Drosophila melanogaster: one gene and its partner. The protein of the gene in region 1 interacts with the protein of each later gene in a pairwise test. Each region holds a gene or a part of one and is shown in the gene's direction. Other genes may lie near its edges. The genes, in order: CBP and CG14323.

What was found.
Region 2: the proteins of CBP (region 1) and CG14323 interact in a two-hybrid assay, tested with the Drosophila melanogaster proteins (one large-scale study listed by BioGRID).

What each region holds. Positions count from the first base shown.
Region 1 is NC_004354.4:7,335,546-7,343,530, forward strand, and holds CBP (sarcoplasmic calcium-binding protein), read left to right. Parts: upstream 1-1,806; 5' UTR 1,807-2,170; coding exon 2,171-2,311; exon of another isoform or gene 2,312-2,705; intron 2,706-4,758; coding exon 4,759-4,971; intron 4,972-5,649; coding exon 5,650-5,958; intron 5,959-6,028; coding exon 6,029-6,262; coding exon of another isoform or gene 6,263-7,021; 3' UTR 7,022-7,186; downstream 7,187-7,985.
Region 2 is NT_033777.3:17,620,696-17,624,395, reverse strand, and holds CG14323 (uncharacterized protein), read left to right. Parts: upstream 1-2,283; 5' UTR 2,284-2,295; coding exon 2,296-2,928; 3' UTR 2,929-3,197; downstream 3,198-3,700.

The sequences.
Region 1 (7,985 bases):
GCATTACTGTGGCTAATATTATGAATAGGTATTATCGAGATATCAAATACGCATCTATCACAATAATAAAATAATAGAAGTAATATTTAACTTTAAAGGAACACAGACAAAAGCAGAACGTTCTAGCAGATAGTATGTATGTATGTATATGTATGTATAGATATGTTCCATTATCTTTATAAACGGATTATGTTCAATTTATCTCGAGTTCACCGCCGCATAATCCGCTTTGGAAACTTCCCGGCTGCTCACATGTTTTGGTTTTCCGTCTGTATTTTCAAGTTTTTGCCTCCGCAGAGTGCAGTGCACTCCGCTTGCCGCATTCGAAACGGTAAAGTGGGGGGCCTTCGATTTTTTTTATTTTGTACGTAAAGTGTTGCACTTCTTGCGGGGAACCAGTGCTTGCAAAACTATGGGGGATTTATGAAAGCATTGATCTTGATGGGCAGTAAAAACTATTAAAATGAACCAAGATTAAAGGGAATTAGTGGAGCTGATAATTCCCTTTAATTTTTGCCGGCCACTGATATATCCATTCCGAATCACTACCCCCTTATTAATTTTTTCGATGGTTTCTTTTTTGTTTTCGTTTCGATGCAATGTTTTTTGGGTCCAAGTCCACTGGCGCTTATTTGATCAAGACTATTATACAATCTTACACGTATGTACAGCTGTGTATGTATGGGTGTCCACAGTGAAGGTACTAGAAATAGTGCTCCGTTGCGAAGAATGATCAGCATAGTGCATTATGCTTTTGGACAATTTGGGTTATAAAAAATAGTTTAAGATACCTTTAATGGTGGTAAAATGCCAAGTGCTTGAAATTAATTGGTATGTAACTGAAAACGATCTTTTAATGTTATTAGTTTTAAAGTGTTGTAATGATCCTATAATATTTACCGCACACGTGTGGGTGTAAGCATGCGTTTTGCTGTGGAGCAATGAAGTAGAACAGCAACGGAAAAACAGAAACTATTAGTGCGTAGGTATTTGTGTTACTTCATTTGTATGTGTGTGCGTAGAGGGCACTTTTCGGGGAAGTGCGTAGCGAGGGGGGAAGGGTGTCTTGGGGCATATTGTATTGGACCGACAGTTTGTCACACGCAGCGACCTAAATACGCACATTTTATGATATTTTCATTTTGAGTTTTGGCTTTTGTTTTTGGATTCCTTCGTTTACGTTATCAATTGGAAAACTGTAGTCCGTGTATGTATATGTGTGTGTAATCCCATGTTTATGTAATGCATTTTCTTTGGGCTTTATTTTGAAAACGAATACAGTTCTCCATTTAAGCGAGGTTTGACAATCACTGGGTTTTGTGTTTGTTTTTGCTTCTTCTTGTGCTCCTGCTTCCTCTCCATTTTCTTCTTCAACCGGCTTACATGGTCTTGCCTTTGTGTTTGTACTTACATATATACAGCCAAGGGCGCAAAAATATGAACTAAAAAACTTAAATACTAATTCCTCCGCATCTCTTAAAGCTGGTTTTAACATTTGGGAACGCTCATATTCAAAAATATTCTTGCGACACATATGCATGTGTATATTAATGCAGCTCAAAGTTTGATTTCGTGAACATTTGAAAATGTAACTACTAATATTTTGGCTTCAATAGTGTGTACTGCCTGCTTGTGGTAACCATTCCAAGTAGCAGCTGTTCTCCCTGCTCCCTTCTTATGCTGTCCTCTCCCTCTTCATCACACAAAACCACACACACACACGCGCACTCCCGCTCACACACACTCAGAAAGACCGCTCTGCTTTTACAGGCGTCGACGTCGACTTCTTTTCTTTGCGCAGCGATGGTTTTCAAAACGAATTCGAACGCTTAAGCGAACGGTTGTGTTTACTCCCAAGCAAAGATATCCAAAAAAAAAAAAAACTGAAACCACAGAGAAATCAAAATAGAAATTAGCGGACTCAAAAACAAAGTGTAACAAAACAAAGCAGAAAAATAAAGGCAAACATTTTTTTGTGGTGCATCTTCGAAAAAACCGGTTGTTAAATGCGCGTTGCAATCGAAATAATAACAAGAGTTCAACAACAAAATCCCTAAAAAAAAGCAACGTTGCACATTTTCTCGAGTGCAGTTCAAACTGTAAGGAAAACGTAGCGAAAATTGAGGAAAAATTTAAGAAAACCGAGGTTAAAACTTGAGCGAAAAACAAAATGGCATTCTCCATCGTGAGCCGTGGTATTTTGCGCACTTCAAGAGAAATTCTGGAACGCAACATGGCCGCAACTGTCGGCGTTCTGCAGCAGAATGCCTCCCCGCCCCCAAACACGCCCATTTCGCACAGCGATTGTCACGTAAGTGCATCTTTTCTTTCAGTGCATTGTAGTTAAGGTTACTAATTGAATTGACAGAAACAAGCAGTTAGAAAAACTTAGCATCACAAAGCGGACAGGAAAGAGCAGTTCCTAAAACAAACTTAAAAGCAACAGTTATAAAATAAAGAGTTTAAAACCAGTTCCACAAAAGATGTTCCAACCAAAAAGCAGTTCCGCATGATATAAACTCAAAACAAAGCAGAAAAATAGAATCGCAATTCGAAAAACAGTAAGTGGTGGAAGGAGAACTGTAAATAGTGAGGAAGAGGGGTGAATACAGACAAGCAAGGGAAGTGGAGAATGAAAATTGGGAGCGGGAATGTTCACGAAACGAGGCCAGTGCTAAGTAAACTGTAGCAGTGCATTCGAAACTGTAAGAACTCGAGTTCAATTCTTGATTAATATTAATAGATATTCCCAACTATAATTCTAGCAATACAAGAGAGTTTGGGATTATTAATTCTCTAATTTTTATTAACTTTTCATTCCCGCATTATTAATTTATTGTTGTTAGCAGCAGCATTATATATTGCTGATTTTTGGTTTCAATTGATGATTAACTATAAAATACGTTTAGGTGCTGGCAAATTTCTTGCACATCAATCATTAAAGGGCGCAGCACTTCAATCAATCAATAAGAAATTGAAAACCCGGCGCCGAAAGAGGCATATCCCTCAATGAAACAAATAAAACAAGATACAGTAAGATAAACAAGTGGAAATTACACACAAAGAAATGTTGGTATTGAATCAATAGATTCAACAAAATAGTTCAGTTAATATATAAACATGTTTCATCTTACTCCTATGTTGTTAGCTTTAAAAATACCGTCCAATAGTATTTGCATAAAAGTTTCGGTTTTGAAACGAAATTTATGATATTATGTTGACACAACATACATTAATTTAACCAGCTAAGCCAATATTAATACTTACTGGTATTTTTCACCGTGTATTCAGGTGAAAGCTTGTTTTCCCTTCTCACCGACAACAACCCCCTCATTTTGAAAGTCGGAAAACTGCGCAAATTCTGTAGCAGGAAAATCTTGCGCAAAAGCATTGGAAATTATAACAACAAAAGTACCCCACCTCCCTTTACTTTTTCTCTAACCGCCACGGAAAAAGAAGTTTTAGAATCACAGGAAATGATTAAAGTGATTTTATTCGCAATTTTTCTACTTCTTGTTTGCTGCTAAATTAACATTGACCTGTTGCTCGACTTTGATTTTTATTTGCCGTCTTCTTACTCTCTGCATCTTCCACATATAAATCATTGGCATTGTTTTTTGTTTAATTTTCTTATGGTCGAAACGTGTTTCTCTTTATTTTCGAGACGCGCAGACATTCAAATGAAAGGAGGCCCGTTTTTTGCATTCATTAATTCGTATTTTGGAGAAACTTGTTTACGAAAAAAAAAACACCGAAAAACAGAAACAATCCAAAGTTCGTTTAACCAAACGAAGCAACTGGAACCGAAAAAAGGTCCCAAAGCAGTCAGTCCAATACAATAAGTGTGCGGGCTTTATGATAATGTTATATGGTATGATGCATGATATCATCGTCGTCGGTGGCTGGCAACATCTGTACTTGGATTCTTTCTTATCGAGAGCCATTGAAATTCAAAACGTTTACAAGAGAATTCGGTTTCTTGTAATTAAAAGAGTAGCGAATTTTGTTTTTTATCTTTTCCTAATGGCACAGGTGATGGAAAAAACCTTTCTCCGAACTGGTTATTGGCATCAATATTTATCTTTTTTAATTTTCAAAGTTGCAATGTTGGCAGCAAAGGACATTGAATGTATTATATATGTGTAAAATACCGTGTCCTATATTTACATATATTTTATATATATTGGAAGCTATTTTCCTGCTGGTTTACAATTTCTTCTTTTAAATTCGTTACATACATGATCGCCACGTGGTTTTTTACCATTACCAAGCGCCTCTCAAACTGTAGACCGAGTTTTTTGAGATACATTTTGACAGTCACTCTTTGGCACTTTTAAGGCGAACCAAAGATGGAAAACTCGTAAAAAAAAACAGATAACGACGAATCAGGTTTAGAATTGTTTTGTGAGTAAACAGAACTGACCTTAACAATGAGAAAATAACACGCACAACAAAAACAACACAGGAAAACAGCAGTGCGCTGAGTTGTAATTAAAAACATAATGATTGCTTACACACCGAAGGGCGTCTAGCAACCATATCAACAACAAAAAGAGCATTCAGCATGGGGCTGTGAAAACCGAAATATACACAAAAACAATACAAAACAATAGCATAATGATTGCGTAACATTATTAATGACACGTTAGCATCTCTTTTTTTAAAGCACAATCAAAATGATTATTATGATAGAGAAACTTATCCAATACATTTTGCATTTTCACATTTTTCTAATTTCCTTTTTTTTTCTGATTTCAGCGCCTGGCATCTGGCGGCATTATCTGTGGACATGGAGCACATTCACTGCTTTGGCATCAAATGCCAACTGCCGTGGTCCAGGCTGTCCGTCAATATTCAAAGAAGGCCGGAGCGGCCAAATTGCGACGGGAGGTGGAAAGTGATAGCGATTCCGACTCGGATGATGAGTTCGAGCGTCGTCGCCAGAAAATGGATTCCAAGCGCAGCGAACGGGTGAGTGAACTGCTTGAGAAATGCATAATCCATTAAATAGATCCATAAAACACACGGTCCACGTGGCTGAGAAATTTCAATTGTGTTTGCTCGACAGGCCGAGAAACGTGTTTCGAAATTTGTTTATCGTGCTCAATGTCGTTTTTTGAACCTGCTCTACGGCATTTAAAAAATAGTCCAACATTGTAACCTGGTTAACAGTGGCCATTTAACAGTAGTAACTGGTTTGAGTGCAGACTGTTTTAAGATCAAAGCTTTGTTGTTTGGTTATTAATACGAAATCTTAGCTTTCTCAAAAAAAGCGAATTGAAGCTTAAAGCAGTTGCTTGTATCCTGACTATACTTGCCATCAAGCAGTTCCTTAAAGTCCTTTCAAAGCCTTTTGGTTAAAGCTTCTAAAAGCTCACAAGCAGTCGCTGCGCGTCTATGAGATAAGCTGATGTTAATAAAAGCATTTTAATAAGGACAGTCAAGTCCTGCAAAGCTTTCAAGCTTTTACTTTTCAAGTCCTTTTAAAGTTTGAAAAGAGCAAAAGGCTTGGTTGCAGAATTGCAATGAGCTTTAGAGTTTAAGAAGCTTTTAGCACGCCCTGTGAATGTTTTAAATCAAATATAATTAAAATTTAAAATAAAATCGCAAGGCAAACCAATTAATATGTATATTTTTCCTCATTTTTAGGGCGACTCAGCATTCTGGCGCCGCAAAATGCGTACTCTCCACCGCATTTTGGACGTTAATCACGACGGCGTCGTGTCCTTCGACGACTTTAGTTTGCTGGCCAAACGCTTTAGCGATCTGGGCCATTTGACCCCAGAGGTCGCTGCCGAATTCAACGATGTGATCAAGCATACTTGGGAAGAGCAGTTCGGGGAGATAACCCCATACAATCTGGTAACTGCCGAGCAGTTCCTCACCGATCTGCACCATCGTCTCAACGACAAGAAGATGGCCAAACGCATCGGTCGCTTCCTGCCCTACTTGTTTAAGGTTAGTTTCATTGTTAAGTTGCTATTATCGATAAACAGAAAAATAATTTTTCCGGTTTTTTTTTTCTTAGGCTGTGGACTTTGATCACACTGGCCATTTGGATCTCGAACAATACAAGCTCTTCTTCCGTTGTCTGGGACTGACCGAAGACGATGCTGCCGTTTCATTCGCTGTGATAGACAAGAACGGCGATGGCCAATTGTCGCTCAAGGAGTTTGTGCATTTGGGCCGTCAGTTCTTTTTAACCGAGGACGACTCGAAGATATCGAAAATGTTCTGGGGACCGCTGGTCGCTGATCATTGACGGGTTGCAGTCACTGCTGTAGATTACAATACAACCAAATCAACAATAACCCAACAAAAAAATCCTTACTACAATCAAGATTATCAGAACCATCAACACAACAACGTCCGATGCCATAACATCGGCAACAATAACACCAATGAGCCAATGCTACATTATACATTGAATACGACAACGATGTTGGCCAATAACAATTACAATAAGATAGTGGCCACTTCGTTGCCAACTCGCGTGCAGGCGGCAGGCGGCAGTTGGCTAAATCTACAGCATGTGGCGCCTCATAAATCGGGACCGTTAATAAACATTAGCAACACCACCACGATCGTTATAAGGAACATGAGCATTTACGATTATTTTCGGCAACACTTGTCCAGTTCGAAGCGCCAGCGCTCGACCTTTGAGCCCCATCCATCGCCCACTACGTATCCCGCCTCCAAGTTGCGCAAGCACAACTTTAGTAATTATCAAAAGGAACGGGAACGGGAAAGGGAAGACCGACAGAAAGATAATAATAATAATAATCATCGAACCAAGGGCAAACCATCATTAGATGACTACGATATAAGATTTTTTGTCTACCTTAACTCGCTAATAATATTCACAATGTCGTGCAGTCGTCAATCGGCCGCCGAGGGCGATGACCTCAAGCATTTCATTTGCGACCGGATCCGGAAATTCGATCGCCTACGACGAAAGGCAAGAAAACGCCGCAAGAGAAGGCCCAAAAAGCTGGTCGAGGATCAAATGCACCATTTATAAACTCTGAAAAGTGGAGCTACATACTATTCACGGTCACCCTATTTACCATATAATCGATTATTTTTTTTTTGTCTAGTTAAGAGTTATGTTTAACTGATATATTACACAATACAGCAAGCATGATATAACGGAATAAAAATGATTTTTAAATATACTATAAATAATACGAGCATATATTTTCAATTATTGGGTGATCAAGCGATCAAAAATGGTTTTCCTAAATCTTTGCGACTCTGTCCACTTATAGATTTTAGTTTATTATGTTTAAACTATTTCCCTAATTGCATATAGTGATTTGCTTATGATTATCCTGCTGCAGGTTTATATTTAATTCATATTCTCAATATTCAATGGAGAAAGGCAAACAGCAGACGCTACTTCCTTCTCATTTTATTTTTAAATGCATTTTTTTTAAATGTTCCCTCCCTTGGCATCTGCGGCCACATATCATTATGTAAGCGCCAGCGAAAAGGATTTGCGATATCAACTGAAAAGTGTTTAGCTGGATGTTGCGAGTCTACAAAAAATGTTACCTAAAATAGAAGACGGGTTGAGCTACTTTTCCAATACTCTACTCTACATTTTTAAAAGACTATACACTTTAATGAAATGCTAGGAATAAATATATATCTCCATCATATAAGTGGTGTGTCATATTTTGTTGTAACATATAGTATCAAAATCTAAGACATACCCTTTATTTTGATACAAAATGGCATACACCCAAAATTCTATAGATAGGGCATGAAAAAGAATTACGTTGTGGAAAAGGGCAAGAAAAACTTGTCGCGCGTAAATCTCTGCGATGGCAACCTCCCACAGCCGTCTAGGCTGGCTGACCAGAGCTCATTATGCGCATTTGTGCTGGACGGGATAGAATGGGGGTTCCAGAGGGCTTCCCCCGACATAAGGATGGTACGCCCGTTTCTTTCCTTTACTTCTAGTCCTTCGCACTAATTTTTTT
Region 2 (3,700 bases), on another chromosome or scaffold:
ATCACCACCACCTCGCACATCCTTCTCGACATCCACCTGTTGTTGTCCTTGCAGTGGCGTTGCATAACGGAAACCGTCCGGCGGAAATGTTCGACAGCATGTTGCGATGTTGTCCACCGCAAGGTGGAAAAAAAACGACCGGAGATCCGGGGCCTCGTATATTTGCCTTGCAAATGGAACGAACGGCTTTTCAATTTCATTCGCTTTTCTGGATAAAGGGGTCTCCCTGCAATTAGCCGACAGTCAGCTTATTTGTTTCAATTTATTTACATGCACTCGGTTCTGGCTTATCTTGCTTTTTTATACACAAACGCACTCAAGCCCACCGATAACTCCGGGCCATATAATTATGTAACAATGGAGGGAAAAACAAACTTCTGACAAGCCGAACAATGGTATATTATATTTATAAATTTAATTTGCAGAGTCCTTTTTGCTTGTAAATCGGATACAGCAATGTCCTCTTCTAATTTCCCCCCGAGAATTAATATCTGGTCGTCTGCTGCGGGACTTCACTTATCGGATACAAAAGTTAGTTGAACGATTCCCTTTTGATGATCTCAAAGTTTGGCCATCTCCACTAAAATATCCCCCTAATATTTGCCCAGACGATATAAGCTCAGTTTCTGGGCCCCAACAACATGTGTTCAAGCATACATATATCATTCGCAATGCTCTAACGCCCACCCCAAAAAAAAGCTGATCCAAGCCTCATCGTCACCCGAGATTTTTAGCAATTGTCAGCAATTTTCTCAATGTACAGGACAGCCCAGAAACTATCTCACAAAACCACTAAGCAAATGTCCCTCGTCCAGGACGATGTGTGCTGTGTATTTTTCTGATTATCCTGGACGGTCAGTTCGGCCAAAGTCGCACACAGTGGGCGTGTACATAGCTGAGGCATTAACATAATTTATGTGGTTCCGCCGGATTTGGCATTGTCGTAAAAAAGGACACTCCATTGTCCGTTTCGAGCTTCGATAACAAAGGCAAAGCCCGGCCGAGGATTGTGGTTTTTATTGTTTTGATGGCAACAAAGTTTGTGGAAAGTTTAGTTAGTTTTTCTGTTGACTTTGCGTATTTTTTTAATTAAATGAATTTCGTGTTGGAGAAATCAAATAGTTGCCAGCTAATCTATGCAGCCATAACTCATATTTTGAAAGAATATCTGGTCGGGGTGTATGAAGTTCATGGTCCGTAAAAACGTGCGAAATTTTCACGGGCGCGTGAATTTTCACAGCCCTTGGTGGTTCTTGTTTTTGTTTTTCCAGACACGGACGTGCGCCACCTCCTTTTTTACCTCGTACTGATTGTTGTCACCTGTTTTTTGCACACTTTATTCGCAGGCCTCCCGCTAAAAGTTGGGTATGCGGGCATGGCTCAGAAGTTGGTGTTTTTCCTGATTCAATGAGTATAGAGTTCTTGAGCAGCACAGCCTTACAGGGTGTTTAGGCGTCGCATTATCTTCAACTGCTTAAAATGTTAGTACACCTGGCACGCAGAACTCATAACTCAAAACGGTTTTTGTTGCCCTCACAAAAGTATGTAATGCGGCAAAATAAAATCAAGCAGCAAAAGTCAAAAACTTCGAGTTTTTCTGTACATTTAATAATGAAAGATTGCTCGTACGTGCGGCTCGCGAGTATTTACGTGGGAAAGGAGAACATTTTTAGGGATGCATACTTGGGAAATCACTGCAACTTTTTTTTATACCTATTTTTAAATTTTTTTAAACCAATATGTAAATTCCGGAAATATAAAATAAAAATAAACCTTCTGGAGATGCGGGGCATCGATCCCCGTACCTCTCACATGCTAAGCGAGCGCTCTACCATCTGAGCTACATCCCCGATGTGAGCGCCGCTAACTATTTTGGACTGTATGTATAAAGAAATAGTGGTTTAGCGTTTTAATTAGATAAATTTGGCAATCTTTGCTTTAGTTTTAATTTAATTTTGGGTTTTCATATAAATGAAATGAAAATAAATAAAATGAATGCCTAAAAAAGGAAATCGTTTTATATAATTTTTATTCAAATACTTAACTTAACTTAAGATATACATTTTCGGATATGCATTTTAATACTTGTACAGATTTCGGTCGGTAACTGGGGCAGCCTTGAATGTTTTTGTATTAATAAAATTTCACGCTTTGTTTGCTTTGCCAAAGTTACAGCACTTGAATGTTCATTACAAGGCCCATTAGGCAGCCTGTCTTCGTGGGACTCACTGAGTTGGAGTTGAGATCGGACGCAAAGTAGTCCGCCTACAGATTTCAGCAGATGCAGTTGGGAAAATGGCAGTGCTCCAGATTTTATTTTTGCTGATCCTGGTCAACAGCAATGGATCTCAGAAAACCGACTTGGATGTGGATGAGGAACCAGATCATACAGGACCAGAACCAATCGATGGACGATCGTTTTTCTTTCTGGGTACTTTGTTTCGTCGTTGGCGTAACCGCTGGATGGCCTCTCACAATCCGGATCCCATATTCGCCGGCCCCGCCTATCCCATATCTGGTTATTACAATTGTCCTGTATATGGCTGCAGCCTGGCGGCTATTGGTCCTCAACCAGGTTACTACGCTACACCTGCAGGATTTTACACCATGCCTCTGAATCAGCAGCAGGCTCAGGGGAACAGCAATGTGTATATCTATCAAAGTGATCAAAATTCCGCGACGTCTGGAAGTCCCATGGGCTATGGGTATCTGAGCGGAGCTTCGCCGATACGACCAGCTCCGCCTTTCCCTCCACCACCACCTGGTATGCCACCGCCCACATCCGTTGGAACGGTACAGGCCAGCGCAGGTGGGTATTCTGGACCAGGAGCAGGACCTGGACAACGGCCAGGACCGTTTCCAATACCCTTCCAATACCCTGGGATGAATGGGAAAACAAGTAGCCGGAGGAAGCGCTCGCCCAAGTAAACAGAGCAGAGCAAAGTAAAAGAAAACAATACAATTTTAATTGAAATGTGTGCGTCAAAAAAAGTTAAGTGAAAAGAGATAAAATTAAGTTTTCGAAACCGGAAAATGTTTTGCACACTAAAAACCGCAATCTATTGCTTAAACTAAGACAAGAAAACTCCAATATCCTACAAAATTATTGGATTATTATTTTAGTGCTGACCAATGTTTTTAAGCTATTAAAAAAGTGTACTTAAATAATTTCGCAATTTAATAAAGACCGTAAAATTAAGTGTTTCCATTGCTTGGTATCAATAAATTTAAATGAAAACCGTTCATCTGTGCAATTAAAATCATTTTGTTTACATTACCAACTAGATTTCGAAAGTGGCGCAGCTCCCCGGAAAAATCCTCAAAAAGGGTTACCCACGCACACACTCACACGTCCATTTATCCATTAACGCCAAAGGAAAAACTCCACAAGCAATCTGCATAAACAAACTCATCATCATCATCCTCACCAGCTGAAGGATGAGCTCGAGGTTCCGGACGAGCAAAGCCGAGCTATCGTAGCTCCGGCATTTGTTTTGATTCCATCATAAACCATAAGATAGCTGCAAACGAGGATGGCTGATGAAGTGGTTGCAAGCTGCCCAAGGAGCTGGGGAGAGATTCAATTGTTTGGCAAATAAATGCCCGGCAGCATAATGGATGGCCATCCATTGGCCTGGTCAGCTCCGTGTCCGCTCCTGTTATTATTTTTATATAACTTGCGAAAATAATAATAGAGCTT